Linked DNA regions of Astyanax mexicanus. The protein of the gene in region 1 purifies or fractionates together with the protein of each later gene. This does not show direct contact. Links are inferred from orthologs where the notes say so. Each region holds a gene or a part of one and is shown in the gene's direction. Other genes may lie near its edges. The genes, in order: gnl2, rpl35, krr1 and usp36.

The links.
Region 2: the proteins of gnl2 (region 1) and rpl35 purify together in Homo sapiens (affinity purification with mass spectrometry; 3 studies listed by BioGRID and IntAct, with this or other methods). This does not show direct contact. The link is inferred for Astyanax mexicanus from reciprocal best matches to the Homo sapiens genes GNL2 and RPL35.
Region 3: the proteins of gnl2 (region 1) and krr1 purify together in Homo sapiens (affinity purification with mass spectrometry; 3 studies listed by BioGRID and IntAct, with this or other methods). This does not show direct contact. The link is inferred for Astyanax mexicanus from reciprocal best matches to the Homo sapiens genes GNL2 and KRR1.
Region 4: the proteins of gnl2 (region 1) and usp36 purify together in Homo sapiens (affinity purification with mass spectrometry; 3 studies listed by BioGRID and IntAct, with this or other methods). This does not show direct contact. The link is inferred for Astyanax mexicanus from reciprocal best matches to the Homo sapiens genes GNL2 and USP36.

Annotation. Positions count from the first base shown.
Region 1 is NC_064413.1:32,199,783-32,208,641, forward strand, and holds the start of gnl2 (nucleolar GTP-binding protein 2), read left to right. Parts: upstream 1-5,164; 5' UTR 5,165-5,292; coding exon 5,293-5,356; intron 5,357-7,063; coding exon 7,064-7,148; intron 7,149-7,310; coding exon 7,311-7,405; intron 7,406-8,318; coding exon 8,319-8,458; intron 8,459-8,859. UniProt on the Homo sapiens protein: GTPase that associates with pre-60S ribosomal subunits in the nucleolus and is required for their nuclear export and maturation.
Region 2 is NC_064424.1:25,163,103-25,171,063, forward strand, and holds the start of rpl35 (60S ribosomal protein L35), read left to right. Parts: upstream 1-4,766; 5' UTR 4,767-4,770; intron 4,771-4,829; exon of another isoform or gene 4,830-4,833; intron 4,834-7,961.
Region 3 is NC_064409.1:26,516,281-26,524,027, reverse strand, and holds the start of krr1 (KRR1 small subunit processome component homolog), read left to right. Parts: upstream 1-4,167; 5' UTR 4,168-4,208; coding exon 4,209-4,296; intron 4,297-5,882; coding exon 5,883-6,055; intron 6,056-6,460; coding exon 6,461-6,595; intron 6,596-6,692; coding exon 6,693-6,818; intron 6,819-7,747. Other genes in the region: cAMP-regulated D2 protein, read right to left, coding at 1,088-1,221, 1,323-1,521, 1,699-2,097. UniProt on the Homo sapiens protein: Part of the small subunit (SSU) processome, first precursor of the small eukaryotic ribosomal subunit.
Region 4 is NC_064426.1:43,488,775-43,496,733, forward strand, and holds the start of usp36 (ubiquitin carboxyl-terminal hydrolase 36), read left to right. Parts: upstream 1-4,551; 5' UTR 4,552-4,704; intron 4,705-7,042; exon of another isoform or gene 7,043-7,151; intron 7,152-7,959. Other genes in the region: timp2b (metalloproteinase inhibitor 2b), read left to right, coding at 1,197-1,394. UniProt on the Homo sapiens protein: Deubiquitinase essential for the regulation of nucleolar structure and function. Required for cell and organism viability.

The DNA of each region.
Region 1 (8,859 bases):
TACATGCTGAATCCTTTATTTTGGTATAAGATTGCTTGCTAAGTCTGCTATTTATTGCGGTGCTTTAATTTGGTTTGGCTTCTGCCGTACTCCGCGTCTGCACGAGAGACCTCACTCCACTCTCAGAGTAAGATAAAACACTGGATGTCAGTGTAAGCTCTGCAGACTTGTTTGGAAAGCTGTGTTGGACAATGTCTGTGCAATCATGTGATTAACAGCGATTAAACAATGAATTAATAAACAATATAAAGTATTATTGTTTGTAGTATTAGTTTATTTATATGAACATTGCAGTGGCATTTACCTACACAGAAACTAAAGTAAAGAGTAAAGAGTGAGTAATGATAATTTATCAATTTTGCAAGCTAATGCCTAGAAATGTATTAGACAAATAGTCTAGAGTCAAATCTCAGAACAGTCATAACCCTGTCAAGACATAAGGTACTCCTGAAACTTATCCAAGGCAACAGGGAGACCAATAAACAAAATAGATACCCATTTCATGAAGAAAAAAAAGTGTTTTCACAGACAGACATAAAGACCAATATACCAATATAATACCACAATATAATAATTATTATTATTGTTATTATTATTATTGCGTTATTACTATCTATGCTTTTGCCATCATTATGTTGTTTCCATGCTACTATTATTGTGTTGGCATTGTTATAACCATGTTTAGTTATGTAAGGTTATTACTATGACCATGTGTTACTGTATTTTTCAATGTTATTATGTTATTACTATGGTATTACTACTGTATTATCATTACAACAGTGGTCGGGGCAATACAGAAGTTTTTATAGCCCTGTCATCCCACTTAAGATCCATCCATAACAATGTTAAGTTGGGCAATGTAACAGAAATAAGGTACAAATTATGATGGTATCTCCAAATGTGTACACATGCTCTTCATAGTTGCCAGTTTATCACACTAATTACAGAAAACTAAAACAGAAAACAGGCAAACCTGGAATTTACAATTTGCAGCAGGTGCCTTTAACCAATCAAAGCAAGATATGAAAATAAATAATGTAATGAATCCTATTATTACTACCTAAAAGGAAGTTAGCGAAACTATCAATGAATTGTAATGCTGTGTACTAGGGGTGTCAAAAATATATTTGTATTGAGATTTTTGTAAAAAGATATTTGTATTAAGACATAGGTGTTTAAAACTTCCTCAGACACACCCCAATGTTACTTAGTGAAGTTCCTGCTTCACTACTCACTACTAATTTCTAGTATTTGCTTTATTAGGAGTTTTTCATCCTCTTAAGTAACACAGACACTGTTAAGTATCATACAGAATTGTCTTGTGATATATAGAGTATCACAGAATCACAGTAATGTGATATACTCGCTATTGTGCACTGTGTACCATGCTATTTTTTGAAATTACGTGACAGTATATAAAAGTGTGTACAGCCTAATCCTAGCTTAATGTATCAGATGTATTCACCAATATGAAAACACCAACTGAGGAAAGATTTTTGAAAGCATTGTGTTCTGTTCCTTGGGTACAGCTGTATAATTGATGCTGAAGCACATTTAAATTGTTCTTGGGGTTTTGTGATGACCCATCATCATATTGCCTTTGTCACCAGCCTGGAAGATACTGAGTTCAGCTACTGTCAGTCAGTCAGTCAGTCAGTCAGTCAGTGGGTCAAAAATGTGATCTTGTTTGTTCTTTACTATAGATGTAAATGATGGGGTAATGGCGTGCATATAAAAATCTCTTTGAATCTGTTGGACTTAACAAAACTAGCAAAACATGGTACTTTCAATATTTTAAAAAGGAGGAATATTTAAATATTTTTGAGGAATTTATTACCCAGTAATCAGGGGACCTGCAGTCATCATACACAAGTTCAAATAAGAAAGTATACACAACATTTCCTCTCAAATATAAACCTTCTTGAACCTTTACAACGATGCCCAAAATTCGATTTTAGCCTTTTAGCTTGTTTTTAATTCCTGTGATTTCTTGTTTACTACATGTTGTATGTTGTAGAAAGATGATCTGAAGAGGAGAAATAAATCTGAAAATAATTAAAAAGGATTTCTTGCTCTTGTTTTTGGTTGAATAAGACTATGGCATGTACTTGGCAAAAGGGGGAGCTGCCGTGTCTGTGATTGGAGTGCATTTGTGGCACATTTCTGATGCTGTCAGTTTCAATCCTGTCCATGTGAAAGTGAACAGAGAACATTCCACGGTCTGGACTCTTCTACTGTAGGAAACCGAAGGCTGAGGGTACATTCAAAACTGCCTGCGCTGTACCACTTAGTTAATTTCCCCAAATGTTGTTTTGATCCGGTGCATAAACTTGGACTCTAGGGAAATGTACTGGTATTGTAAACAGCGTCCGATGAGAAAACAGCATTTCATATTCGTAAACATGTGGGTAAGTAAGGAACCCTCAAAAGAGGGCAGAGATGATTATTGCATTGTTAAAGATTATCTCTCATCGTTACAAAGACTTACAAAATTCCTAGAAAAAAACAATAGCAACAAAGCCAACATAAACCGTAAGAAAATATTTGGTAGGATGCTGCAGTATCAGTTTTCCAATGCCACATTTAGCTATACATTGGACAGCATCCCAGTGAGTAATTACTAGACCTATGCATGTATGCCCTCTTCTGGATACACTGAAATTCTTTCTGTTCACACAATCAGCTCTAATATTGGAGAACATTATTAATTATAAAATATTTCATTGCAGTGAAGTAGGTAAACTACTGGTAAAATGTTGTTTTATTGAATAACTGGTAAATGTTTTATTGAATTTTAAGCACTTAAACTCCACTGAACTGGTGCAAGTCCTCAAGTGGTAGAAAGCTTTTTACTTAGTAAAAAGTAAGTAATTGTTCTTAAATAATGGAAATTAATGCATTAAGGAACTTTTCAAGTCAACTGCTCACAGGTTCTCTGAAGCAATTAAAAACAAAATGTTGATCTGGACTTAAAAAGACACTTAACAAATAAAGACAAACAGGTCCTTAGAACAATTGTATGTCCTACCTTCAGAGAAATTACAAATAAAGCAGATTGAGGTATAATTTACCACGCCATCAAACAACATTTGGATACAGGAAAAAGCAAAAAAATCTGGTACAAGAAAAAGTTTGACAAACTCAAACCTACAACAGCATCAGAAGACAAGTTTCTACCAGTCAAAAGCTTATAACGACTCTTATTAGAATACCGGTTTATCGCCCACCATCAGTGAATTTTAATAGATTTTTAAATTAATTTAATTAAAGTGTTCTTTAAACAATATGACAGTCTTCACAGAATGTGCTGTAATTATATTTCAACTAAACTGTATAGGATGAAGGGTGCAATGTTAGAGAACCACAACCTTTCCTTTTTATTATTAATTATTTTATAAATTCATATATATTCTTCTAACTTATTACTTATTAATTTCGGGAAGCTAATGATCTTTAATTAGCTTTTTTTACTGTCACAATGAAACAAGGTGCTCAAAATTATGAACTAATAAGTTAGAAAAAGAACATATATAAACATAACTTTTTATAAATCATATAATGTAGTTACTGTCATGTGGAAATATATAGCTTTAATTAAATAACTCGCTCATCTTTTTTAATTGTATGTCATTAAATAACAACGATTAATATTAATATTATTATATATAGGAAGAACCTTTCACCTTAAAGCATTTTTAGGTTTAGAATCCTATTAAGCCATGTTAAATAAAGGTTATTTTAAGCATGTTTTTCCATAAGTAACATTAAAAGATGTAATGAAACCAAAAAATATATATATTCATTTAATGTTCTTTGCTATCAGGGTCGTAGAATGAATAAGTTACAATTACCTAGTTATTGGTTTAGTTTGTTTATTTATTTTTTAAACTATATTAGTTTTTTTTTTTTTTTTTTTTTTTTTTACAAAAAAATACAGTACCAGTCCAAAGTTTGGACACACTTCTTAATCTCTTTTATGATTTTTTTTTACACTGTGAATGTAATATTGAAGATTTTAAAGCTATACAGGAACACATACTGGAACGCAATTATTGTGTAAACAAGTGTTAAACCAACCGTAAAAAAGTAAGAGTGTTAAACCAACCGTAATATGTTTTATGCTTTAGATTACAGTACCACATTTATCTTTGAGGACAGATCTGCACACTCTTGGTATTTTAATCTCAGTGTTTTCATGAGGGAGAGTCACCTGGAATAGTTTTCTTAGCATCTTGAAGGAGTTCCTGGAGGTGCTGAACAATAGTTTCTGCTTTTCCTTCATGCTGTGAAGCTGCAGTTCATCCCAAATCATCCATCTCAGTTGGGTCTAATTGAGACTAACTTTTTTCCATCAGAATAGAGCATAAACCAGCCAATGTATAGCTTTACAAGCCAATGAAACAGTCGCTTAGCCCCGCCCACTTCACTGAAAAAAACGGCAGCTCATGCATTAGAGTGTCATAAATTCATAAGTGATAAGTTAAAGGAGGGTAAACAATCACAAGGAAAGCCATGAACAAGACTTTGTATCATAAAATAATAATAAACATTATTAATTAAGTTTTCGTCCATTTTTCCAGTTTTTGTTTTTTCATCTCTGCACCTCACAAATGAATTTTCAGGACATATAATAATAAAAAGCCTTTTCTTTATTTACTGATTTTTCCTTTTTTAATTTTGCAAGGATTATAACATCAGATTTATGTTACAAGATACAAAAATGGACAAATCTGAAAATCGAGAGAAGATTCTCTACAATTGAGAGATTGTTTTCTTGAAATTCTGTTTGCGAAAGACTGAAATGAAAAACTTGATATTGAAAAATTGGATGAAAAACTTTTTTTTCATTCTACTGAATAGGAAAAAATAATAATTAAGTTTTATACCCAATTTTCTATTTTCAAATTTAGCTTAATACAGTCAGAAAATTAAACTGCTAAATGTACACTGACCTCTAAGATTACTGGGTGTCTTAGAGCTTTTAAAGAGGGAAAACTGTGAACAAAAAGAAATGTGTGGAAAAAACAGGCAGTTGCAACGTGTTTTTGACTAGTTTCACGATAATAAACTCAAAATTAAACGCAATATTTCCTACTTATTTCACAGTCATATTTTTGTTTGACCAGGTTCGTCAGGCAGTCGCTCGGCTGATGACGCGTTTGTGCGCGTTTCCGCCGGGCTGCATGTGGACCTGCAGGGTAACACGTGTGAGTGAGGGAAGAGAGCGGAGCGGATCTGTCCGATTAATCACAACAGCAGGACTCCTATAGACCTGATCAACATCTGATCAACATGACCAAACCCAAGTTTAAAGGCAGGAGCTCCATAAACCCCTCAAACTCCAGTTCAAACCCCGGTAAGATACGGGTTTAATCATTTCAGCCTAGATGTAAACAGCTAGCGTTAGCCAGCAGGCTAGCTGTGGTCCGAAAGTGCATAATGCTGAGATTACTGACTTATGAAATCATGCGGGATGTATTTATGTGTATTTGTAGGATTTATACAATTTATTTTCGCGTTTCTGCTATTGTGTATTTCTGCGCGCGAGCTGACGTTTTGCTAGTTTTGTTAGCTAGCTTAGTAAAGTCACGGAGTCTAAAGCGTCAGCTAACGTAAGCTAAATGTCTTGATTTGCATCTATTTCTTAACGTAAGCAGTTTTTCCTGTCAACGAGCAAAGTGTCCGGCTCTAATAGATCGTTTATTGTTTATTATTATTATTTTATGATAAAGTCTTGTCTATGGCTTTCCTTGTGATTGTTTATCTTCGTTTAGCTCATCCGCAATGAACTGATGTAGCTAAGCTAGGTTTAGCTAGCTTTACCTAGCTAACCTAAACATCTCTTTTAAGTATGGTTGGTGTTAGAATCAATTACTACCAATTATATGATCTGAATGGAATATGCGGTATCTAGCAGGTGGCAATAACTATAGATCAGCCATAACTCTTGTCATGAATATTCAGCTTTAAAAAAAAAAAGAGACAACTTAAAAATGCTGAGTTTCTTTGATTTTACCTAAATAAAAACCTCTGGAATATAATCAAGAGGAAGATGGATGATCACAAGCCATCACACCAAGCTGAACTGCTTGGATTTTTGCACCAGGAGTGGCATAAAGTTATCCAAAAGCAGTGTGTAAGACTGGTGGAGGAGTGTGATTAACTGTGATTAAGAACCAGGGTAATTCCACCAAATATTGATTTCTGAACTCTTAAAACGTTATGAATAAGACCTTGTTTTCTTTGCAATATTTGAGGTCTGAAAGCTCTGTGTCTTTTTTTGTTGTTTCAGCCATTTCTTATTTTCTGTAAATAAATGCTCTAAATGACAATACTTCTATTTGGAATTTGGGAGACATGTTGTCCGTAGTTTATAGAATAAAACAACAGTGTTCATTTTACTCAAACATATACCTATAAATAGCAAAACTGAGAGTGAATAGAGAAACTGAAGTGGTCTTTTATTTTTTGCCAGAGCTGTATATGAGCACTTTGTAGGGTCATAGTCTATAAACTATAGGACTAAAGCTAGTGTGTTTCTCTGTATACTTTCTTAGCCTTTTTTCATTCTGTTCCTAAATGGTCAGGATAATCATACAGCAGGTATTACTATTTGGGTGCATTGACAGTGACATGGTTGTGTGTTAGTGTGTGTTGTGATGGTGCATGGTGGATCAGACTTAGCAGTGCTGGCGGAGTGTTAAAACACCTTAGTGTCACTGTTGGACTGAGAAATATCCAGTCACACACAGCAGTGTCTTGTAGGCAGCGTCCTGTGGTCACTGATAAAAGACTAGAAGATGACTAGCACAAACTGTCTACAAGGTTCTACAAGGTTGTTTGTGGTATTGTGTAATAGAGTGGACAGTGAATGGACAGTGATTAAAAACTCTCAGTGTTTAGAAAAGATCTACTTGTACCCCCACAAACACACTAACACACATGCCAGTTCTGACCACTGAAGAACGATGTGTACAAGTCTACAGTATAACACTATTTTATGGTTGTCTGTTGATATGAATTTTGCTCAACAGCTTCTAATTAACATCTCTTTTTTTTCTAGATCGAGTAAAGGGGACTGGAGGAAACAACATGAGGGACCGGGCCACTATCAAGCGTCTGAATATGTACAGACAAAAACAGAGATGGTAATCTTGGCTTTTATTCTTTAATGATGACACAAAATCAGTCTGTGTTGTGCTGTTTGATCACATTTATAACTATAAAACAGAATTATACAGTATCTTCCTGTACACTTTTTTTTACTTAACTAACAAGTATTTGTTGTTTTTTTTGTATTTTCTCCCCAGCAACAATCGGGGTAAAGTCATTAAGACATTACAGTACCAGTCCACTGTGGCTCCTGGAACTGTAGCCAGAGTTGAACCCAACATCAAGTGGTTTGGTAAGTTTATTAACTGTTTCATATGTATTATAAATTATACTGTTTATGAGGTACAATTATGTTACATCACGGTACAATTACATTGAAAATACTGCATCACTTCTGTTTGGCTTTAACTGATCCAAATTAACCTGTCCAGTTTTGTTGCACATTTCTGATGGAAGAGATAAGACCTTATGCCGACAGTTTGTGAAAGAATGCAAAACTTTTTTTTTTTATCTCTGTTTTGGGTTTTTTGACACGTTTTGAATTTTGCTATAGTTTTTCTTACATTTAGCAAAAAAAAATATGATGAATGGACCTATAGAAATGCTCCAAATTGACTTTTTGGAGACAAATTGTATATGAACTTGTTCAACACTATGCATAAACTTACAACTCAGCAATTAAAAGCAACTTGAGTAAAACAAGTCTGTAATGGTGCAGAAATTATCTTCAGGGGTAATATTAAGATATACCTGCTTAATTGCTGTGGAAATTCACATGAATATGAGAAATGTCACACAAAATCTGAAAATTAACAACAAAGATTAAACTTTTTGTGCCATTACCTTCCCCATATATTGTATCTATTTCAAGAAATTAAAAAAGTCAGAATTTGTGCAGTTACAGGATCTCAAAAACCATGAGTACACCCCTTACATGTCTGCAAATATTTTATTATATCTTTTCATGGGACACTATAGAACGCCATAGAAATTACACTTGGCTTTAACTTAGAGTACTAAATGTATAGCTCGTATAGCAGTATAGATCTACTGTTGTCTAAAAACTCAAAACACAGCAATTAATATCTAAAAAGCTGGCAACACAAGTGATTACACCTACTAGTGTTTAATTGTGATGTCAGGCCCAGTGAGAGAAAACGTTGGACTGCTTTTTAACCTGTCTATCTCCTCTGATGCTTCTGCAGCTAATACTCGGGTCATCAAGCAGTCGTCCCTGCAGAAGTTTCAGGATGAGATGGGTGCAGTGAAGAAGGATCCATACAGAGTGGTGATGCGTCAGAGCAAGCTTCCCATGTCTCTGCTGCACGACCGGATTAAAGCTCATGTATGTATACACACACACTAGGGCTGGGCGATATGGAAAAAAATCTTATTACGATATAGTTTTTCATATCAGCCGATATCGATATGTATCACGATATAAATCAAATCACTTTCTGTTACACTTAAAGGTTTCTTTTTTACTCAGAAGTGACAGAATAAGGGAGTTATGGCCAAAATCACTAGCAGGCTCAGAGCCTTGTGGACAGACACTAGGATGTTAACATCTTGCCAGGTGGGTACAGCTTTTAAATTAATTTTAAAAAGGGGACAAATATATAAACTAAAAAATATGTAAGACCCTTTACATTATATGTCTGTTTAATTTAAATTGCAATAGCACTTTATTTTTTTTTAATAAAATTATATTTAATCAAAAGATCATTCCCCTCCCTGAATGCAGGC
Region 2 (7,961 bases), on another chromosome or scaffold:
GTTGATGGCTCTGCTGACTCTTTCAGACCACTCTGCCGGTCAGCCGGGTCCATCTATGGGTTGCAGTGGGGCATCTTTCTCCGTGAACATAAAAGCATTGATAGACCAGGGCCAATAAAGAGAATAAGAAGAGGAGACCAAAACCAGATAACTGAAACAAACAAAACAACACAACATCTCAACTTAATGTGTTGTTGTGTTGTTCACAAACATGTTCACCAATAAACATGCTTCAAATTAACATTTACTGACTATTTCTTTTGAACACTCATGTTAAATGTGTCGTCATTCGCCTTCACTCTGTATTTGGGCCCTATTTTAGTGATATAAAGTGTACGGGTCAATTGCGTAGCTTTTTTGTGCAGCTGGATTTAGGGCGTGTCGATGAGGGTGCAAAAAATACTCCTTGCGCAGCTCGAAACACACAAAAGGCATGAACTAATTATCTTAATTAATCATGGGTGTGTTTTGGGCGTAACGTAAAATAAACAAATCAGTGTCTCTGGCCATTCCTTTTAAGAGGCAGGTGCACTCTGACTTTGACGCTTTTGTATCTTAACAGTGTGGCACTTTGTTCTTTTCAGCAGAGGATACTGACCTATGGGTTTACGCTGTGAAGGTCATTTAAAGGAACAGCAATGTTATTTTATTCTGTTTATTGTTGAGTTAAAAGTCTTGTTTGTGCTCTTCAGAGCGTCTGTGTTTGCACCTATAGGAACGGACTCTAGATTGTTGATGGGGTGAAAGGATGCCTTGGGCAGGGTGTATGATAGAGCCCATAATGTTTGATTTTACTATAACCTGCAACAACATTGATGTCCAAGTTTTAAATTTAAAGAATAATGATGTAAAGTAAGAATTTAAAAATAAAAATGCATTTTAGATCTGACATAGACACACATTTGGTAGGGAAAGTAAAGGCCCTGTTACATCAAGTAAAGACAGATTCACACCAACTACAATTTTTTTGGATGTAAAAAATGAATGTTTTTTTAGCACAGTGGAACTTTTACAACGACTCTGACATGTTTTTGCCTTCTCTTCTCTGTAAACAGCTTTTAAACATAGATTTCACTTTATCTCTGCTTTCTGCTGCTTTGATCTGCTCTTTGATTTCCTCCTCCATGCGAGTGCCCATCAGCCCGAATAAGAAGTTCATTCATGGTTATTTGTGGATCATAAACAGATTCCGACACACCTAGACAAACTTTATCAAACAGGTAAAATAGTGTCTGTCTTTTGGGTAGAAGTACAGATCACCCCACTGAGTATTCATGAGTATGTATGTTTGATAGTTTAATAATAGTGTGTGACTGAGCTGGTTAACCAGACTAACCAGTTTGATAAGTATTCCAAACATTTAAGAGCTGTGATTCTACCTACTCAACAAAATTAAGGATCAGTAGCTTACCTTTGATGTGTAATATGATTTCTCTGCTATGTTCTGTTCAGCTGTCAGGGTTTGGTTTAGGTCACACCATTCCCAAAGAGCCTGCTGACTGCTTTCAGCATGTTCTGCACTTACAGTCCGATAACAAGCCACGTATCTTCCATCACTTAAGAACAAGACAATCCAAACAATACTAGGAATCAAGTACTGAAAGCACTGGCAGACAGTTTTGGACGTTATGCAGCATTTGCTGCCTTTCAGTTTCACTTTTCCCAAAAGAGTCCCACTACTGGGAGGTGGGACATTAGTCACCCCAACATTAATATCAGAATTCCCACCTCCCTCAGGTTGGCTGTCCGGTCCTCCACTTGTCGTAGCAGACTTTTCCACATTCCTCACAATGTAAAACATGGCGACGTATCCTATAAAGGCGGGCATCAGAAGGTAAATCCAGAAAAAAGGTTTCTATAGAACCTTTCGCAAGGGCACACAAAGTCAGCCTCGATAAACTTTTCAGACACAATAAGGCAGATAACCACAAAAATTAAGTAAATGTTCTTTCCCTTATGGGTGTCGAGAAATGGTTCTAGCAACTGGTCTATCATTTTTGGTTCCAGTAGAGGATAGAACTGTTCCTGAATCTATACTAAAAAGGTACCGTTAAACAAAATGCTGCAGTTGCCTGTTCTAACATGCCCTGTGTGTTGTTTTGACAAAAGTGAAAATGAACTTTCACAGATAAAGTACAACGAGGAATGTAGGCTCCTGTGTTCTAGAGAATTCCTTGGTCAGGCCCCTCCCTAGTGTTGTGTAATTTTTGTTTTGTGAATTGTATTCATATACAATTACAGCATGTTCTTGCTATCACCTGCAATAACAAACCCGCCCCCCTAACAAACCCCCCTCTATAACCTGCTCATTGGTGAGATAAACTGCAGCAGGGGTCGCCAACCTTTTTCAAACTGAGAGCTAATTCTTGGGTACCAATTAATACAAAGGGTTACCAGTTTGATACACACTTGAAATCACAAACTTGCTAAATGTAACTTTAATTATGTTATTATTAATAATTAATTATATTCATCTATATAAATACACTGTACACCATATTTCTTATATTACATTTTACTGCTGCTGTACATTGTTTAAAGGTTTCAGACGATGTTTGCAGATTTTGTTTTCCTGAATTAACACTGTTGCCACACGTTTGTCATGTTTGTTCATGCTGCTTGTAGTAAAATGTGAATAAAAATATATACTTATATATAATAATATGATATATAAAATAAACAGTCAAAAGTTTGGACACTCCTTCTTTAATGGATTACACCTTATGTAATGTTTTTTTTTTTTCGTAGAATCTGTTTATTTTTACAAGAAAGCAAATAATATTTAAGGGGGTAAATCTTTTTACTGACATTATGTAAGCTGTGTAATGATATGAAGAAGTCAAGGTTTATTTCACATCTTGCTTTGGACACTGTTTCTAGTGTCACATGGTAATTAGCAGTGAAATTTACAATATAAGTCAAATGTATTTTACAGTAGGGCTGAAAAAAAAGAAGAAAAACTCAATGTGTTTCAAGTAAACTTTATTCAAACATTTAAAATTTAAGCCTGACATGCCCAAAGAACATACAGAAAAAGTACTTTGATGATTTGAGGAAGAGGGGAAAAAGTCAAGTCTTATAGTCTTATATCATATTCAGATACCAGTCTTCTTCAGCTAAGCAGAGAACAGTCAATTTACTTCAAATTCATTTATATAGCACTTTTCAAGCCTTTTATGAGTAAACACCACAGTGATAGTGCCAACAGTGGGCGAAGAAAAACTCCCTCATATTAAGAGGAAGAAACCTTGAGAGGAACTAAGAAGGACTTCCACCTCAGATCAACCCGGACAGCACAAACAAATAATGTAACAAAAAACAACTGTACAGAGAAATAATGGAAAGCTTTAGGTAATGTATAAACAGGTTATGAGTTATTAGTGCAAGTACTGACTTGCAGGCCACTGACTTGCTTACAGATTAAGGTTTTAACATGGAAACATGAAAACTGTAGGTTAAGGAGTAATAGGAAATTCACAACCATGCAAAATAAAATGAAATAGGCCTCATCAAATACTCCCAAACATGACCTGTGAGGGGGCTGTTCTAATTCCAGATGCAATCTACTAAGAGCATATCAGTCCTACTGATTCTGAATATGCCATACAACATGCAGTACAAAAAATACACCCTATTTTTTTTTTTTTTTTACATGTATAGAATACAACATGATGCTTTTGCTTGATATTTTCCATGCAAAACAAAATGTTACACAGGTAAAGGGTCATACCCAAGATCTTTTATTTTATTGGTGTAGGGTCATAGACGTGTTCAGTCTGTCAATCAAACCCCCCCCAGTCTGTCACAGGAAAGGTAGTCCTACCAATGTTGCTAGTCACTACACTACACCACCCACATATGATCTATTAAACAGTATATTATAAATAACTCAAAAACAATTAACCTGATGTAATTCTGCATTACTGCATGTTCCAACAAGAAAATCATCCCCATCCTTAGAATGCTGCTAATCATAAGATTGTAATTGGTTCAGCCGTCATCTGTTTCCACAACTGTGCCAGTCAGCTCATCAGGGGTTGCATCGCAGCATATTTTCATCCATGCAGAGCAGCATCTTTTACAGCATGCAGGCGCAAGCTGATAAACCAGTGCCAAAAGCGAAAGTAAGAAGATGAAAGCAAAACCAGATAACTGAAACAGAAAAAAACAACACAACTCAGCTTAATATGTTCATTATGTTAGGATCAGTAGAACAGTTCTGATTGTACTGATGTGTAAATCAGTAATCAGTAGCTTACCTTAGATGCATAATATGCTTTCTCTGCTGTATTCTGGTTATCTGTCAGGGTCCGGTTTGTGTCACACCACTCCCAAAGAGCATTTGTACTGCTGACAGCATGTTCTCCACGTAGTGTGGTGTTAAAACAAGCTACATATCTTCCATCACTCAAGAACAAGACTATCCATACAAAAACTGCCATAAAACTCTGACCATATGGATTATTGGCAGCAGCTTTTAGCAGTATATACACTTTTTTTAACATTTCCTTTCTTACAGAGTGATTCCTATTTATTAAAGGTTGGGTTTCCTGTACTTCATTAGAGCTCCCGGGCTCCAACTCAGATCTTGCAGATGTTCCACTTTCTGCTAACTGGATACCCGGTTCTACACGAGATCTTCCGGACTCCACATCAGATGTTCCACTTTCAGCCAACTGGAAAAACAGTTCTACACGAGGTCTCTGGGACTCCACATTAGATGTTCCACATTCAGCCAACTGGAAAAACAGTTCTACACGAGATCTCTGGGACTCCACATCAGATGTTCCACGTTCTGCCAACTGGAAACACAGTTCTACACGAGATCTCTGGGACTCCACATCAGATGTTCCACGTTCTGCCAACTGGAAACACAGTTCTACACGAGATCTCCCAGACTCCATATCAGAACTCCTACTTTGTGTAGCAAGTTCATCCGTGTTGTTTAGAACGCACAACACAGAAACATATGCTACAAAGGCAGGCATCAGAAGGTAAATCCAGAAAAAAAGTCCTCTATAGACCTTTTCACAAGGACACACAAAATCAGCCTCAATAAACTTTTCTGCCAAAAGAAGGCAGATGACAACAAAGATGAAGAAGATATTCCCCTTATTTTTGTCAATAAGTTTTTGTAGAAGTGGTTCTATCATATTTGGTTCCTGAAAAGGACAGAACTGTTCTTGAATCTAAACTCAGAAGATCCAACAGACAAAATGCTGCAGTTTTCTCAAGTGAAAGTGTAATGACAGTATCATAGGCGGAGTACAAAAATAAGCAGTTCCCTAAATTCTCATGTTTCCTGGACTAGCTCCACCTTAGTGATGTGTGAGGTATGAGTGAGATAAACAGGGGTATTGTACTTCTATAATTTACAGGTCTCTACATGAAAATATTCACACATTTTCAGTTGTCTTGTTGAGAATGGAAAATCAATCCGATGTATTGTAAAAATATGGCTATAGCCAATTTGGAAAGACCTGAAGAAGAAACTCATCACTGGTGTATGAAGTAACAGATGTTGAACAGGTAGTAGACCATAGAAAAACACAGCAGTTAATGACAGAAACATTGTAAGTGCTGCAAAGAAAAACCTAAATCAATTGTTGGTGACATCAGCAACAAATTGGGGCAGGAGTGAAAGTATCACACTCTACTCTTCACAGAAAACCTCATCAAAAAAGTACAGAACCGTCACCAAAAGATGAGAACCACTTATCAACAAAAAGAAGAGAAAGAGCAAGCTGGAGTTTGCCATGAAGTACAGAGACTAGCCTATGGACTGATTATGGACCTATGACAAGAGAATCTTAAGAACCTATGAGAAAGATGAATCTGTACCAGTGTGTTGGAAAGGCTAAAGGTTGGAGAAAGAAAGTATGCAAAATAAACTCTAGTCTATAGTAACATTTTGTCTGTCAATAAGAAGAAATGTGCAACAAAACGGATTGGGAGATCCTTCATCTTGCAGCAAGATAATGACCCAAAACACACTGCCTGGAAAACCATCACAAATGAAGAATGTAAAAGCGTAGTGATGTCAGTGGGTCACAGGCTTGATGCAGTTATTGAAGGCAAAGGATTTGCAACTAAATATTTAGCTCTATTCACTTTAGTCTATTTTAAGTTGATTTATTCCAAAATTAAAAAGAAGTGGGTTCATTATGTAATAAACATGTGATGACATTTATCAAAGACCAGCATCACTTGAAACATTACAGTGATGCAATGAACATGTAACTTGCAATAAATGCATTTGTATATTTCTTCTACCTCAGTTCTTTTTTTGTGTTCAGTGAGAGAAAACTAGCCTGTTTTGGGCATGAACAAGTGTATTATGTGAACAACTGGATATATTTTTTTGTTTGGCATCCCATTACTGTAAAATGATACAGTAATATCACTGGAAATGTATTACATGAGAAAGAGATCTTTAGAGAAGAATTTAGTCGTGCGATATAATAACCCATTGATTTTTCTGTTTTATAGGACTCCAAACTCATGTTGTCTTATTTTTTAGTATTATTACTGGAAACATACGTATTAAATACAATGAACAATGTTACACGATGTTCAGCAGTTATCATTTGATAACCATTTGATTTGCTTATTTTATATGACAAACATTTCTAAAATGTTACACTGATCTACAGATAGGTAGTTGTATTTCTGGTGTATATTAGTTGATTAGATCTGGATAAATCATTTTTATTTAGGTGTAAAACTATTTTCTATTCTATTTTCAGTCTCTGCTGGAGAAGCGCGTGCCTCTGCTCCTCCAGCTCCGCTGTGCACGCAGCTACCGTAATACACTGTTTAGACGTGCACACAGGTTTTTGGTGCGGATAGCGTGACCGATTTACTATTTCTTTATAATTTACCAACAATCTCACGGCCCGCGGGCCGTACAATGCCCAGGTCTGGTCTAGTGGCTTTGTGAGCACTTTGAATAAATGACTTGAGACGTGTTTCAATAACAAATCATACAGTAACAACATATATAAAACTACTTCTACCAGGATCATGCATTCTAAACTTCAGAAATATCCAGTCAAAATGAAAACTGTTATGAAATGTAGATTCACAGCAAACAGTCATGGCCAACAGTGTTGGCACCCCTGAAACTATCTCTCCTAGAAAATGACTGCAATTACACGTTTTGAAGTATATTTGGGGTCATTGTCCTGCTAGAAGACCCCTGATGTAGGATGAAAACCCAGCTTTTTGAAACTGGGACCTACAGTGCCTTGCAAAAGACAGGCCCCTTGAATTTTTCAGCCTTTTGCCACATTTCAGGCTTCAAACATAAAGATATGAAATTGTATTTTTTTGTGTAGTAGTGGGACAAGAAGGTGCTCTGGTCAGATGAAACCAAAAATTTTTGGCCACAATGCACAACATTATGTTTGCCGTAAAAGCAACACAGCTCATCACCCTGAACACACCATCCCCAATGTAAAACATGGTGATGGCAGCATCATGGTTTGGACTTGCTTTTCCTCAGCAGGGACAGGGAAGATGGTTAAAATTGATAGGATTGATGGAGCCAAATACAGGACCATTCTGGAAGAAAACCTGTTGGAGTCCGCAAAAGACCTGAGACTGGGATGGAGATTTATCTTCCAACAAGACAATGATCTAAAACAAAATCTACAATGGACTTGCAGCTACAAGCGACTTGCTGCTGTAGTCCAGCTGGAGAATGACCCCTTATATACTTCAAAACGTGTAATTGCAATCATTTTCTAGGAGAGATAGTTTCAGGGGTGCCAACACTGTTGGCCATGACTGTTTGCTGTGAATCTACATTTCGTAACAGTTTTCATTTTGGCTGGGGTATTTCTGAAGTTATAAGAATGCATGATACTGATAGAAGTAGTTTTAAATATGTTGTTACTTTATGATTTGTTAATAAAACACGTCTCAAGTCAATTATTCAAAGTGATCACACTAGACCATGC
Region 3 (7,747 bases), on another chromosome or scaffold:
GTCCTGTTCTTCTCTATGTTCGTCTGTGCTGGTGTATACTGTCCTGTTCTGCTCTATGTTCATCTGCGCTGGTGTACACTGTCATGTTCTGCTCTTTGTTTGTCTGTGCTGGTGTACACTGTCCTGTTCTTCTCTATGTTCGCCTGTGCTGGTGTATACTGTCCTGTTCTGCTCTATGTTCATCTGCGTTGGTGTACACTGTCACGTTCTGCTCTTTGTTTGTCTGTGCTGGTGTATACTGGCCTGTTTTGCTCTATGATTGTCTGTGCCGGGGTATACTGTCCTGTTCTGCTCTTTGTTCGTCTGTGCTGGTGTACACTGTCCTGTTTTGCTCTATGTTCGTCTGTGCTTATGTATACTGTCCTGTTCTTCTCTATGTTCGTCTGTGCTGGTGTATACTTTCCAGTTCTGCTCTATACTCGTCTGTGCTGGTGTACACTGTCCTGTTTTGCTCTATGTTCGTCTGTGCTTGTGTACACTGTCCTGTTCTGCTCTATGCTCGTCTGTGCTGGTGTATACTTTCCTGTTCTGCTCTATGTTCGTCTGTGCTGGTGTATACTGTCCTGTTCTGCTCTATGTTCATCTGCGCTGGTGTACACTGTCCTGTTCTGCTCTTTGTTCGTCTGTGCTGGTGTACACTGTCCTGTTCTTCTCTATGTTCGTCTGTGCTGGTGTATACTGGTCTGTTTTGCTCTATGTTCATCTGCGCTGGTGTACACTGTCCTGTTTTGCTCTATGTTCGTCTGTGCTTGTGTATACTGTCCTGTTCTTCTCTATGTTCGTCTGTGCTGGTGTACACTGTCCTGTTCTGCTCTATGTTCGTCTGTGCTGGTGTATACTTTCCTGTTCTGCTCTATGTTCGTTTGTGCTGGTGTACACTGTCCCGTTCTGCTCTATGTTCGTCTGTGCTGGTGTATACTGTCCTGTTCTGCTCTATGCTCGTCTGTGCTGGTGTATACTGTCCTATTCTGCTCTATGCTCATCAATGCTGGTGTATACTGTCCTTTTCTGCTCTATATTCATCTATGCTGGTCTATAATGATCTTGGTTTATGCTGGTCTGTTTACAAGTATGTGTGTGTTCTTGCCTTGCTGGGATCACCCCCAAACACTGCAATGTTCTGCTTGACCCAAAGCAGAGCAGCCTGCTGGTCCAATATCCCATAATTTCCCACTGAATCTGATCTGGGGTTTGTCCCTGTAACCAGAAAACCAAAGGCTCCTACAGAAAAAGTGAGAGAGTTAGCCAGAGTAAAACTAATGTAACATGATGTATTGTGTGTGTGTGAGAGAGAGTGCGTGGTGGGTAAGGGGGTTTGCTACCCAGTCTGTAGGCCACGCTAACCACCACGGTGTGCGTGAAATTGCTGATGAGCCGAGAGTCATACAGCGGTTTGGAGGCGGAGCCTGCAATGAAGTCTCCACCATGAATCCACACCATTACTGGCAGCTGCAGCAGGGGGGCGCTAAAGTTCACACTCAGAGGAACAAACACATTCAGATACAGACAGTCCTCACTCACCTGCAGCCAAGCACACACAAAAAATTAAAATTAAATAAATAAATAATTAAATTAAATAACACTGCTTGTGTAACAACAACAACAATAATAATACTAATAATACTACTACTAATAATAATATTAATAATAATGTGTCTGTAAAATCTATAAATATGCCACACACACATGCCCTCTGACCGTTTTCGGACACTTGTCTGTGATTGGTCCAAAGCAGCGCTGCATGCAGGCCGGTCCGGGGGCCGAGGCGCTCCGCTCTCCTCTCCAGGGTGTGACCGGTCTGGGGTATCTCCATCGGTATGCCCCCACAGGCGGGTCAGCAAATGGGATTTTGTAGAATATGTGAGCGGAGTCAGCGGTCAGTCCTCTAATGATCCCATCTTTGGTCAGGACTCTTGGCCCAGTGGTCTGCGGGTCCCCAAGTGGCCGGCCTTGGACCAGGACCCCCGCGGTGACCCTGCGAATCACAGCGGCCACACTAATGTGCTCTTCGGAACCAGACACGGTCCTGTCCGTCACACACATCGCACACACCATCACACACACCACCAGGGCAGGCCAATATACCCCCATAGTCATCACAGGAACAAAGGTCAGCAGTGTTCCAGCAGATGCAGCAATGCTAGTGCACTCTGCGCTAATGCTGGTCTTCCACAACCTTCAGTGTGGGCTGGGTTAGCATCAGCGCGCATGATTCCAATTACAGATGGGGCAGTGCTACTGCACGGTGTGTGTGTGTGTACTTGTGTACATGTGTGTGTTTGTTGAGCATGTAATTAGTAGCACATGCTCTGTTTTACTTAACAGACTAAAGCAGATTCTCATGATCTCCAGGCTCAGTTCTGTTTCTGCAGATCGGCTCTGTTACTTAGTCCTCATCTATCTATCTATCTATCTATCTATCTATCTATCTATCTATCTATCTATCTATCTATCTATCTATCTATCTATCTATCTATCTATCTATCTATCTATTATTATTATTATTATGTTACTAAGAATATAATCTTGTTATTATAATTGTTATTATTGTATAGAACTGTTATTATCAATGAGTAATCTGCTATTTATGAGAGATCAGTGTGTTCAGCTGGAGCTGTTTAGTTCTTGACCAGTGTAGTTAGTGTGTACGGCCCCTGTGTGGGATAAAGTAAAAATAAAAAATCCCTGGTGTGACTGTCATAAAACTAAAACTGTCAGTTATTCACAAAAGTCTGCAGAAATTCTGTGTTCAGGTATACTAACATATATAATACATAGGAATGGATATCGCCACTAATTTCCTGAATCGATTTCAATCTGTCTGAGCAACAGGTTCCTATCATGGTGTTGTTCAGCTTTGTGTCCTTCATGAACACAGCAGACAGTCCTTGTGTTTCAAACAATCCTTAAGTGTTCTAAAGTCTGTGAGAAGATGAAACGGAGGAAAAGAGTGGATGGAAAGATCTTCTGGCCTGTGTGCGACTTTATACCGTGTAGAACAGGCAAGCGCTGGCTATCTGAGGAGAGGTTCCCAGCACTTCACTCAGATAGCTTGTTGTCTCCTAGTTCATATACACTGGTCCCAGAACAGCAGTGAAGCTTCTCTGCCACTCAGGGTCACGTCCTCCTCACAGCTCTCACTGTTGATGAAAACATTCTGACCTTCCTGATTCCTGAAAAAGTACAAACAACCTCCAAAGCTTGGTGTCATTGAGACAGTTAAGCTAAGCTCATTTATTAAGTAAACAGTAAAATAATATATGTATATATAAATGTATAAAAAGAGTATTAAGGTCTAATCAGCTGCTTGGGATTAAATGATGGATTTGTAAAAATAAATAAATAAATAAATAAATAAAAACAAATCACTAAAAACTATTTAAGTAATTAGAATAAAATAATATAACAATAATAAAAAGGAGAAAAGTTAATTGATAAAAAAAGTAAAAGAAAAAAAGTTGACATTAATATAATATTTTAAACTTAATAAGGAAAATGGCTTGTGATTTAATAAATTAAATTTTAATTTTTAAAGATATGTGTATTGTTTGTATTATGTTTAACATTGACGGTTTTAGGCTAAATGCAAAAACATAAACTGTGTGTACATCTTATTTTTTATTTATTATTTATTTTGGGTTTTCATTTATCTCCTCAATTTTCTAGTTATTAATTTATTAATAATTGTCTGCCCTGTACAATCTGAAATTCAGAGAAAATGTAAAAAAAAATATGTATATTAAAATATTTACTCAATCATCTAATGTTTCATGTTTGCATCTGGAAACAAACGTTTTCTGGATTATACCATTAGACTGGAAGAGAAAATAAGGAAATTTAGTAAAGATTTCTGTATTTTTTTAATGCAATTCTGATTGTGAGTGAGAGAAATTTGGAAAAATAATATATATATTTTTTTTCTTATTATGCTTAGCCTTAAACATTACACACTGCCCTTCTATCTGATAAGAGTGAAATCAGTTTAGTAAATAATTAATTTAATAACAAAATATTACTAATACAAATTCACACAGAACACAAATAAAATAAAATAATAATTTAAAAATATATAACACTACTACTACTACTACTACTTATAATAATAATACATAGTAGTTTGTCCTCTGACCTGAAGGGTCGCTGTGAGTCTCACTGCGTTCAAACACGCAGCAGCGCTAAAGGAAGCAGCAGAAGAAGAATCAGCAGTAATGGCGGCGCACGCAGAGGGCAGCGTGAGAGAGAGAGGCGATCAGAAACTCAACAGAAACAGAACCAGAGCCAACCAGCAGCCCTCCGGTACCGCTGCACACACACACACACACACACTACACCTCTACTCACCTGTACTGACCTTTACTGACCGGTACACACAGGGCCGGAGCAGTGTGCTGCTCTGTGTCCCCACTGTTTACCTGACAACATCTATTTAATTAAATTTAATCTATCTTTAAATTATTTTTATTCTTTTACTGATGATTTGGGCGTCTAGAGAAGGTTCTGTATAAATATTTACAGTTAGATCAGAAAATTTTCAGCAAAAGCTTTGCAGTTCTTTTTGGAATTGTCCGTTCCACCTTAAATTCCCTTAGCCTGACCCTGGAGAATTTAAGGTGGAACGGACCATTCTCAAAAAAAAAAAAACAAGCTAGGTCAGAAAGTTTAGTTAAATTGTATACCGAATTAGATGCAATATTATTAAATATAGTACTAGTAATCGATAAGCAATAATAATAATAATAATAATAATAATAATAAAAATAACAATAATATTAATAATAATAGAAAAGCTCAAACACGTCGTAATTAAAATAAATGTTTTTACTTGCATGTATTACTTATTTTGACATTTAATTGTATAATAACATAGTAGATCGTAGTCTGTATTTTCCTATAGACCAACACCAGCAGATGACATGGTTCTCCAAACCATCACTAACCATCAGTAACTTTCATTTGGAAATCAAGAGTGTCTGTAGGAAGAGTGGAGAATCACACAGTCCATGCTGCTTGAGGTCTTGAGTGAAGTTTTTACAATCAGTGATGGTTTGGAGAGACCTGTCATTTGCTGATGTTGATCCACTGTGTTCTATCAAGTCTAAAGTCAGTGCATTGTTTTCCCAGAAAATCTTACAGCACTTTATGCTTCACTCTGCTAACTGCTAACTTTTTTCATTTTCTAACAGGACTTGGCACACTGCCAAAAGTACCAATTGGTCTTATATAATATTCTAAGTATTAATTATTAAGACACTGATTTTGGTGTTTGATTGGCTGTAAGCCAACAATAAAATAAATAAATGCTTAAAACAGATCACTCTGTGTGTAATACATCTTTATAATATGAGTTTCACATTTTGAACTGAACTACTTAAGAAAAAAGTAACTTTTCAAACATATTCTATTTTTTAGATGCACTAGTATATTAAGAATGAGGTGGAAATCATTTTTGGTATATTAGAAAATATTGTTGTAGTTTAAGTTGCATTTCTCTATTATAAAAGTCCTTATTTGATCTGATTGTGATCAGGATAAAAAATAAATGATAAATTTACTAACACTTTCTAATAATTTTTACCACAATTGTATCTATTAAATGTGAATGATAATATTTTAACAGCAACACAATAAAAGTGCCTTTTTTGTATTTTCTGCCCAACATTTGCAGATGCTGAATATTCTGTGCATCTTTATTAATGAGGGGAAAACATTTATTTGTGTGAGCCAGATTGTGGACTATCTGCATTTTATTTCATTCTTTTTTAGATATTTAAACATTGTTATATTTCAATTAAATGTCTATAACTGCTCTTTAATAGAGTATAATTTTATTATTAGTTATTATGAAAGTAAATGAAATCTTCTGGAATATTAATGTGTAATAGATGATTTGGAGCTGTTGACTGTTCCGGATGGATGGAAGGAGCCGGAGTTTACGTGGGCGGATAACCCCCGGGGGCTGCTGGAGGAGAGCAGCTTCGCAACCCTCTTCCCCAAATACCGCGAGGCGTATCTGAAGGAGTGCTGGCCGCTGGTGCAGAAAGCTCTCGGAGAGATTGTGAGTGACCCAAAAACATGGATACCCGTTAACTGGTACAACATAGAACCAAAGCTATGAGGCAAATCGAGATACAAGATACAACGGAACCTTATATGACACTAACAAGCTTTGTTGTCACCTGTTGTGTAGTTTCTCATTTACCAACTGTTTAGTTATTTTTTTATACAATATACATTAGATAACACTGTGGGACACTAGGGTAGATGTGTGGTTAGTGTAATGGTTAAATGAGCTTTAGACACATTATTGCCAGCTTTAAGAAGGTGTAGAAAGATGGAGGATGTGCGGCTGTGTGTGAGGCAGATGCACTGCATTATTTAAGGTGAATGTGCTGCAGTTTGAAACTCGATCTTTAGAATGATCTAAACTGTGGATTTTTATTAATCTGATACTTTGCTGCAGTTTATAAATGCTTCACTGGATCTGATTGAGGGCAGCATCACTGTCAGCACCACTAAAAAGACCTTTGACCCGTACGCCATCCTCAGAGCGCGGGACCTCATCAAACTGCTGGCCAGAAGCGTCCCGTTCGAGCAGGTCAGTACACTCTGGATGCATTCAGGACTTTACACAGTAACTGCAGCTTATTTATTTTTAATGTTTCTCTATTAATATCTGATATCTGAATGTTCAGGCTGTGAGGATTCTGCAGGACGACATGGCGTGCGATATAATAAAGATCGGGACACTGGTGCGGAACAGAGAACGCTTTGTGAAGCGCAGACAGAGACTGATTGGACCTAAAGGCTCTACGCTAAAGGTGAGCTAAGTACTGTAACTTTGGACCTATGTGCTCTAATATAGGATTGAGCAGATATTAGTGTTGTAATATTGGACTTAAGGGTACACCATATAAACCACTTGGATAAATATTACTGTGTAATATATATATATTAGTGTAATATTACTATTATGCAAGGGATCTTTTTCTCAGCTGTTCCAAAGTGGTCAGTGCAAATGACAGTCAGTATAATTTCAAGTCATGACCCGTTAATTTTAAATCCAATTTATTAAATAAACACACCCAATGATAACAGTAATAATAAAAAAAAACTAAAAATGAGTTTCAAAACATTATATATGTTCTGCAAATGGTATTTTTTTTATTTGAAGCATTAAGTGGTCACATTTATTGAAATCAAAAGCTATTTCAATCAAAAATATCTTAACAGGCCAAGTTACATGTTAACATAGGAACTCTTCTTTAATATCAGCTTCACAATTCTTGCATCCATTGAACTTGAGTTTTTGGGGAGTTTCTCCTAAATTTATTTGCAGGATGTTAGAATCGCCTCCCAGAGCTGCTGTTTTGAGTTGAACTGCCTCTCACCCTCAGATATCTTGTGCTTGATGAAACTCCAAAGGTTCCCTATAGGGTTGAGGTCAGAGGAAGATGGTGGCCACACCATGACTTTCTCTCCTTTTTTGCCCATAGCAACCAATGACGCAGAGAAGAAAGTGATCAGTCAGAACGTTTTTGTACTTTGCTAAGGTCATTTTCACATCTTTAGGGACCCTAAAGAGGCTACCAGCTCTCTCTCCATGATTCTGGTCCAAAACACAACTCCGGCCCAAAACATGACTCCGCCCCCTTCTTGCTGACATCATGGCTTTGTTAGGACATGGTGGCCATCCACCAACCATCCACTACTCTGAAGGAAATAAATATGTTTGTTTGTTGTAATGTTT
Region 4 (7,959 bases), on another chromosome or scaffold:
ATTTATTATATCCTGAGATATGCCCTAAGATGTTTTATGAAAGATGTGAAATTATATTAATTTAACATGTGTGAGTGATAATTATTTTATATAAAAACATTAAATAAATAAATGGTTTAAAGAAGGAAAACAAAAATGTATGATGGAGCTTTCATCATGCATGACATGTCTGCTGATTTCTGCTTAAAGATATGTTTATAAAAGCGTATTGCTACTTTTGTTTGATTGAATTGTAATGTATTGTAATTGTAATTAGTCATTACATCATTACAAGAATGAAGCAGAGGTCCCTCACCACTTTAGTTTAAGGGAATCAAATTCTTTCATGAGGCAAAAACAGGCCTAAGCACTGTTAAAAACCTCTTAGATATAATAAAGACAGATAAAATGTGTATATATATATATATATATATATATATATATATATATATATATATATATATATATATATATATAGTTTTGTAAATGTGTTGATACTTCAATACTTATTCAATACATAACCTATGTTGATACGTTGTTAACACCAGCTGCTGCTTTAAAAAAATCCTAATAATGTTAGAGGAAATGTTGCAGTATGACGTAAAATAAGTTGGTAGTTGTCCGGATTAAAAAAATCCTAATGTTTGAGGAAGTGCTGCAATATGACAAAATAAATCTGTCATTATTTAGCTTTTAAAAAATCCTACTGTTAGAGAAAACATTGAAATATATGAAATAAAATAAATCTGTCATTGTTTAACTTAAGAAATCGTAAGGTTACAGGAAACTCTGCAATATGACATAAAATTAATCGGTCATTGTTTGACTTTTAAAAAATTCTAATGTAAGAGAAAATGCTGCAATATGATGTCACAAAGCAGTTTACAGCAATGTGATCACAGATTAATTTGACATCAGTTGTAAAAAGCGCCATACAAATAAATTTGATTTGATGATTTGATTTGATAGTTTGCCTTCAAAACGTCCTAAAATTCCTAGTTAGAGGAAATACTTTTTACCATTTTTTTGTCTAAATGTTTCCGTTTACCAAATATTCGTTGTATCCTTATTTCTGATGTTATATAACACAAAATAAATCAGTCATTGTTTGGCATTTAAAATCCTAATGTTAGAGGAAACTCTGCAAATGCGATATATAATATTCTAATCTTTGTACTTTATTGTAACGTCTGTTTCTCTCATGCGTTTTCTGACAGATCGTTCGCTGTGCCTCTGTTCCCTGTGCGGTTAATGATCCAGTAGAGTGTCTATGGACGGACTGGATCACGGAGAGCACTGTGGCGGGTCCCCAGACTCAGCACTACACCTGCATAAAGAGGAACGATAACTCCTGCGCCTGGTACCGCGGCGCCGCCCCGCCCAAGACCGATTTCATGGACATCGAGGATCCGTAAACCTGCAGACAGCAGCACACTCCAGAGCTCGCTTTAGAAAGGCCTCTAAACACTGCTACGGACCCTTTAACATAATCCTGCCCTTCTTCACCTGTATTTAGTACTTTTACACCACAGTTCCTGTTACATAACACGAGATGAAAGGATATGGCAGAGGTGAAGTTCTCGGACTTTCTTAAGCACTTTGAGTCCCCAGTAGCACCTGGCTGTGACCTTACGCTGTAGAGAAAATACATTTTTAAAAAAAGCTAGTACCACTTTTAGCGTTTTTCTATTTTTTATATTTGGGAGGTAATTAAATCACAGCAAGCATGAAAAATTGCTAATAGTTATTTTATCTAATCCATGCTAAATGCTTTTAAGATGATAATGATTAGATAAATGCTCTATTCGGGAGGTGGAGTTATGTAATGTAAAGTAATGTTACTATAGGACGCCTTTAAAATTTATGACAATAATGCAATCTGGTGATATGCTAGTTTATGTATGTTGTAATATATATATACAAACATTTCTAATTTATATCTAAACATTCCATTATCTTGTTTTTTCACACAATAAAAATAGAATACCCTTTTTCCCCATTCCTATTTTTACATTTTTCTATAATTTTGTGTTTTTATTGTTAAGAGTTAAACCAGAGTTGAGGCGATTAATGTTTATAATTTCCAGTATTCCTCCAGTCTTTCAGTCCGATAATCTTCAACATTCAACATTCAAACGTCAATTGTGTGGAAAAGGTTGTGAAGCCTATGTTTAATGTAGTCATTTTGTATATCATGGTATTGTTTTTTTAGTATTTTTTATTTCTATGCTCCTGTACTGTGTTTGTTTTTCAAATGTTTGAATGTTTTTTTTTTTGTTTTTCTTTTTTTAGTATCACAAAAATAAATAAGTGTGAGATTTCCGGTGCTGGAACCACTTGGGAAGACTTTGAGAGCTAACCTGTGCATGCCTTTCATAATTCTGTATTATTCATGTTGGTTTAACAGTTTTAAATAAAGGAAAAGAAAAGCACTTAATGGAGTCTTGGGATTTTGTGTGATATACATTATATTGTTTCTTTTTTGTTAAGTTGAAACCTCTATATAGACTTTCCTTACTTTTTTATATTTAAAAATAGCAACTTTAGACTTAAATTTTACTTTACTTCATTTACATTTATAGCATTTATCTGATGATCTTATTTAGAGTGACTTACCAGGTTATTCCTATTACAGAGTTGGGCCAATTTAGTGTTAGGAGTCTTGCCCAAGGACTCTTATTGTGTGTATGTATAAACATATTTGACTAGAGTGTTTTAGAGAATATACTGGAGCATCCAAGCCTCCACTACCAGACACTGCAACAGCTTCTTCCACCAGGCAGTCAGACTCCTCAACACACAGAGACGGAACTGAACCCCCCCTCAATAAACACATTTAGACTGTACTGTGTCGGTACTGTACAATATTTCATGGTATTTTTGCAATAACAATACTCTTGGCGATACGATAAAACACTAAATAAAAAATAAAAAATGCACTACTGCAACAAAATAAAAATTTAATTTTATAATTGCAATACGATATATGACGTACCCCTAACTGAGATATAAAAAATACAAGAATTTTATCAGATTTGTAACAGAAGTCAATGATCCAGAATGCCATGATACTAATAACAATGCACTTCAAATATCTCCATATATTCAGGATTAAAGTAAAATAAATTATACTGGACAGATATAATCTGTCTGTAGTAGATACATAATGGGAAATGAGAACAGTGTGAATTTTTCTTTTGATAAAAACAGTATAAAAGTAGAGCCCTGATGTGATAATTAATTAGGGGTGGGTGATATAGTACGATATTTCAGGGTATAATATCGTTCACCATATTAAAAAATGTTGGCAATATTATTGTGTACGATATGATATGGCACACAGCCAATATAAACTCACGTGTATATACACCTCTGGAAAAAAAAAACAAAGAGACCACTTAAGTTGATGAAATGAAGAGATCACTTCAGTTTCTGAATCAGTGTCTCTGATTTTACTATTTATAGGTTTATGTTTGAGTAAAATGAACATTGTTGTTTTATTCTATAAACTACAGACAACATTTCTCCCAAATTCCAAATAAAAATATTCTCATTTAGAGCATTTATTTACAGAAAATGAGAAATGGCTGAAAGAACAAAAAAGATGCAGAGCTTTCAGACCTCAAATAATGCAAAGAAAACAAGTTCATATTCATAAAGTTTTAAGAGTTCAGAAATAATCAATATTTGGTGGAATAACCCTGTTTTTTAATCACAGTTTTTTCCATGCATCTTGTAGTACGGTGGCCAAGAAAGCCCAGCGCAGTGCAAATTGAAAAGCGCTGCAAAAGCACAAAACACATCCATCAAAATTACAACACAGGCGCTGCAAATAGAAAAACGCGCTGCAAATAGAACCACAACACAACGGAAGTGAGTCACAACACAACGGAATTTTCCCGGGGGACCTTAAAAGATACTGTACCAGCTAAGCTGCGTCTTCAGTAACATCTCGGACTTCACTATGTGTACAAAGGACAAAAAGTGGCAAACAAGGCGTTTTGTGAAGCAGAACTTTTAATAAACATAACTTACTTTTCAGAAGCTTGTTTGCCACTTATTGTCCTTTGTATACAGCTGGTACAGCATCTTTTAAGGTCCCCCGGGAAAATTCCGTTGTGTTGTGACCCACTTCCGTTGTGTTGTGGTTCTATTTGCAGCGCGTTTTTCTTTTTGCAGCGCGTTTTTCTATTTGCTGCGCCTGTGTTGTAATTTTGATGGATGTGTTTTGTGCTTTTGCAGCGCTTTTCAATTTGCACTGCGCTGGGCTTTCTCGGCCACCGTAACTCCTCCACCAGTCTTACACACTGATTTTGGATAACCTTATGCCTTTACTCTAGATGTTTTCAATTTGGTAAAATCAGAGAAAATCATCATTTTTAAGTGCTCTCTTATTTTTTCAGAGCTGTATATATATAGTGAACTATAGTGTTTAAATTTTATTTTTTTGGACATTATGTCCTATAGCATAGTAAACAAGAAAACGTGATCAGAGCAGTCGCTGGCTGAGTCTCGTCCTCTGATTGGTCAACAGAAATATGAATGAAGCGCCGCGTCAGACTTTTCCCCGCAGCTGATTGGCTGGTGTGTTCCGTTCATCATTGGAGGCCCCGCCCTCAGATAATGCAGCATGGGGGAGAGAGCGCAACAAAATGAAGGACTTCAGAGCCGCCGATGGTCTTTATAGTACCGCAGACTGAACGATTCCGGCTGCTCCGCGGATGGGTATGTACAGTACGGTGTTTTTAACCCATACTAAAACATCTACACAACGTTATCTCCAGTGAACGGCTCGTGTCGTGCTCGGTTTATCGGTATAAAGAAACCCCCGTTCCCGCGGCGGGGTGGTGGTGGTGGTGCAGTACTGCACACGGCGCAGCTGCGGATCCGGGGTGTTGCGTCAAATTGCGCTACCCGTCAAAATGTGCTCCCTACCTACACTGCGCATGCGCTGGTGTGTTTATTTTTGTGAAGAAAAAATGTTTTCTCCATGATAAATGATTTAGCTATAATTTTCATTGGGTTCATTAAACCTAAATATCATGGTGCTGCTTTATGTATATATATTATTGCATTGTCATTTCAATGTGTATTATTTTTTTAATTATTAATATTTTGGCTATTTTGTTTTCATTGTCTTACTAAAACCGTATCTTTTGTTTATGCGTTTATTTATTTGTTTATGTATTCGTTTGTTTTGCCTCAGGGCAACATAAATATGCAGTTACATAACAAGGTTAACATGACAAGCAGTGGTATTTCTTCTTCTTCTAATTGTTATTAATATTAATATTATTATTATTATTATTATTAATATTATTATCATTATTATTATCGTTATTATTATTATTTTATTATTTTTCTCAACAAATATGAAAATCATGCTATAGAGAGTTTAAAAAACTCCAGTGTCATTATTTGCTTGAACAGTTTAATATATGTGTATTGTATTATCACCTCTACCTCTAACTAAAGTAATGTTTTAACTTTTACTTTAATTCAGATTCTTTTTAACTATCCACATATCCTACTTAAATATTTGAAAACAGCATGTTGTTTTAATATGGTGTAATATTCTTGTCGTATTTTAGTAGCTATATTAGATACATTTCAATAATACACTATGGTAGCAGTTTTTGGCGGGGTAGCACATATTGACATAACACCGTGTTCGTACACTGTAAGGCAGTAGTAGTTGTGGAAGCAGCAGCTAGGCCAGGCAGCGCTGTGTTTTAGCTAAATATCTATACCTATAATTATACCTGTACCACCGTATCTTTTAGTGTCGTAGGGAAATATAAATATGGTCATATTAACCTATATATGGACGAATAATCAGTTTATATATGTTATGCTTTGGTGTATGTGTTAGGTTAGCTAGGTTGGTTGATCCAGACTAGTCGCTGCCATGTGGTTGAGTATGATGCTGATGTTTGGCCTCACCTGTGTGGACGAGTAGCCAGCGTGGGGTTTAGTTAGGTGGCTTGCTACAGCTAAATGTGTTCCTAAATACATATACATATATTGACTTTTTGGACAAATTCTACCTGTTCTAGATACATATACTGTCACTTTGTTCTTAATGCTGCTAGCTAAAATTAGGATTAGTAGTTGTTTGTCAGTGGAACCACCCTGCGAGCAAATAAAACATTAACATTTAATATTTAAATAACGTTGCATTACCTACCTTTTTTAGAGTTGATGGGAAAACAACATCTAAACAACCTTTATAAACCATTGCCTAAAATAATGCATGGGTTCGTGTAAAAATTCATACATAAGATGCATTGAATCTACGTTCATTTAAAGGTTTTAAATGGCTGTGACTTTTCTTACTCTAGCTCTTACTCTAACTACTCTCACATTAATGCTTTTAGATAAAAGCTTATATTAGTGCTCTTCTCAAATAATATTTTTTTTATTATTTTTTTAATAGTAATAATTATTATAATTATTATAATAAATTATTATATAATTATTAGAGAAAGTTAATATTATATAATTAATTATAATAATTATTATTGTTTAAATGTCTATTTAGACTGCGATTTACACGATATAACAACCTATGTTACACGTTGTAAGTTAGTTATGTAGCTAAGTAAAGTTCAATATAAAACAGACATAACGTTGTATCAACGTATGATTGGTGTGCACAACTAAATCAGTCCTGAAGCTGGATAAAAATATTGTTTTAATGCATTAGAAAAGGAAAATTAATGTTTATTTAATATATTTTTTTCTGTCAGGATAGTTAGCTTGGTAGGTTAGCCAGTTCACGAGCTATGGTAGAAAACATGCATGCGTTAGCACTGTTGCTAACTATAATTTTTCTGACAGGATTATTGGCATGTTCGACCCCAATTTGTGACATTATTGTCTGTTTATTAAATTTATCTTAAATATAATCTTTTAATATTGCGTAGCTCGTTGGTCTGTCATATAGTTTGCTACAAGTGAGCTAGCTAGCTTAGTTAGCTTGCTAATAATTCCCACAGGTTTAAACGTAGGCACCAGAAAACGAAAACGTTAGCTTAGCATTGCTTGCTAGCTTTCCTAGTGCACGAGCTCTGGTAGAAAACATGCCTGCGTTAAGCTGAGCTAGCACTGTTGCTAACTAGTCATTTTGGCTTTTTAGCTTTTAAATGGTCCTTTTCCTGACAGGATTTCTGGTCCGTAAGGCTCCATTTTTTATATTATATATTTATACAGCGTAAAACTTATTCTAAACTATTTAATATTGTGTCGCTTGTTGATATAATGTAATATAGACTAGCTAAGGTAGAAAACATGCCTGCGTTAGCACTGTTGCTAACGATCATTTTTTCTGACAGGATTCTTCGCGTGTTCGACCCTAATCTGTGACATTATTATTTAATTATCGAGTTTAAAGTTAATCTTTTAATATTTCTTTGCTGTTTTAATATAGTGTTATAGCAACCTAGGTTACCTAGCTAGGTTGCTAATGTTTCCCACAGGTTTAGGCAAAATGCATTAGTATAGCATTAGAAAACATGCTTACGTTAGCACTGTTGCCAACTAGTCATATTGGGTTTTTAGCCTTAAAATAGCTGAGCTAGTTGCCTATGTCTGACAGGATTCCTGGTCTATATTGTATATTCTTTTCACATTATTGTCTGCATCTTGCCTAAATTTAACATTTAATATTATGTATCTTGTTAATAGAAGTACTGTTTAGGCTGTGTTAGTCATTTTCTAAAATAGTCTCAGATTTGTGCTGTAATCTGTTAAAACCTGAAACATTTTAAGTTTAATTTCTGTACATTTCTGTCATTTCTGTTTGGCAGCTCACTTTTTACGTGGTTTCGGCACGTGGCTACTTTTGCAGCGCTGTTTGATTCCTGAACAAGTCAGTCTTTTAAACCGGTTTAAAATAAACCCATCAAATCGGTTTACAATTTTAGTAAAATTAAAGTTTCTTCAGCTACGTTTACACAGCAGGTAAATGTGACGTGTGTG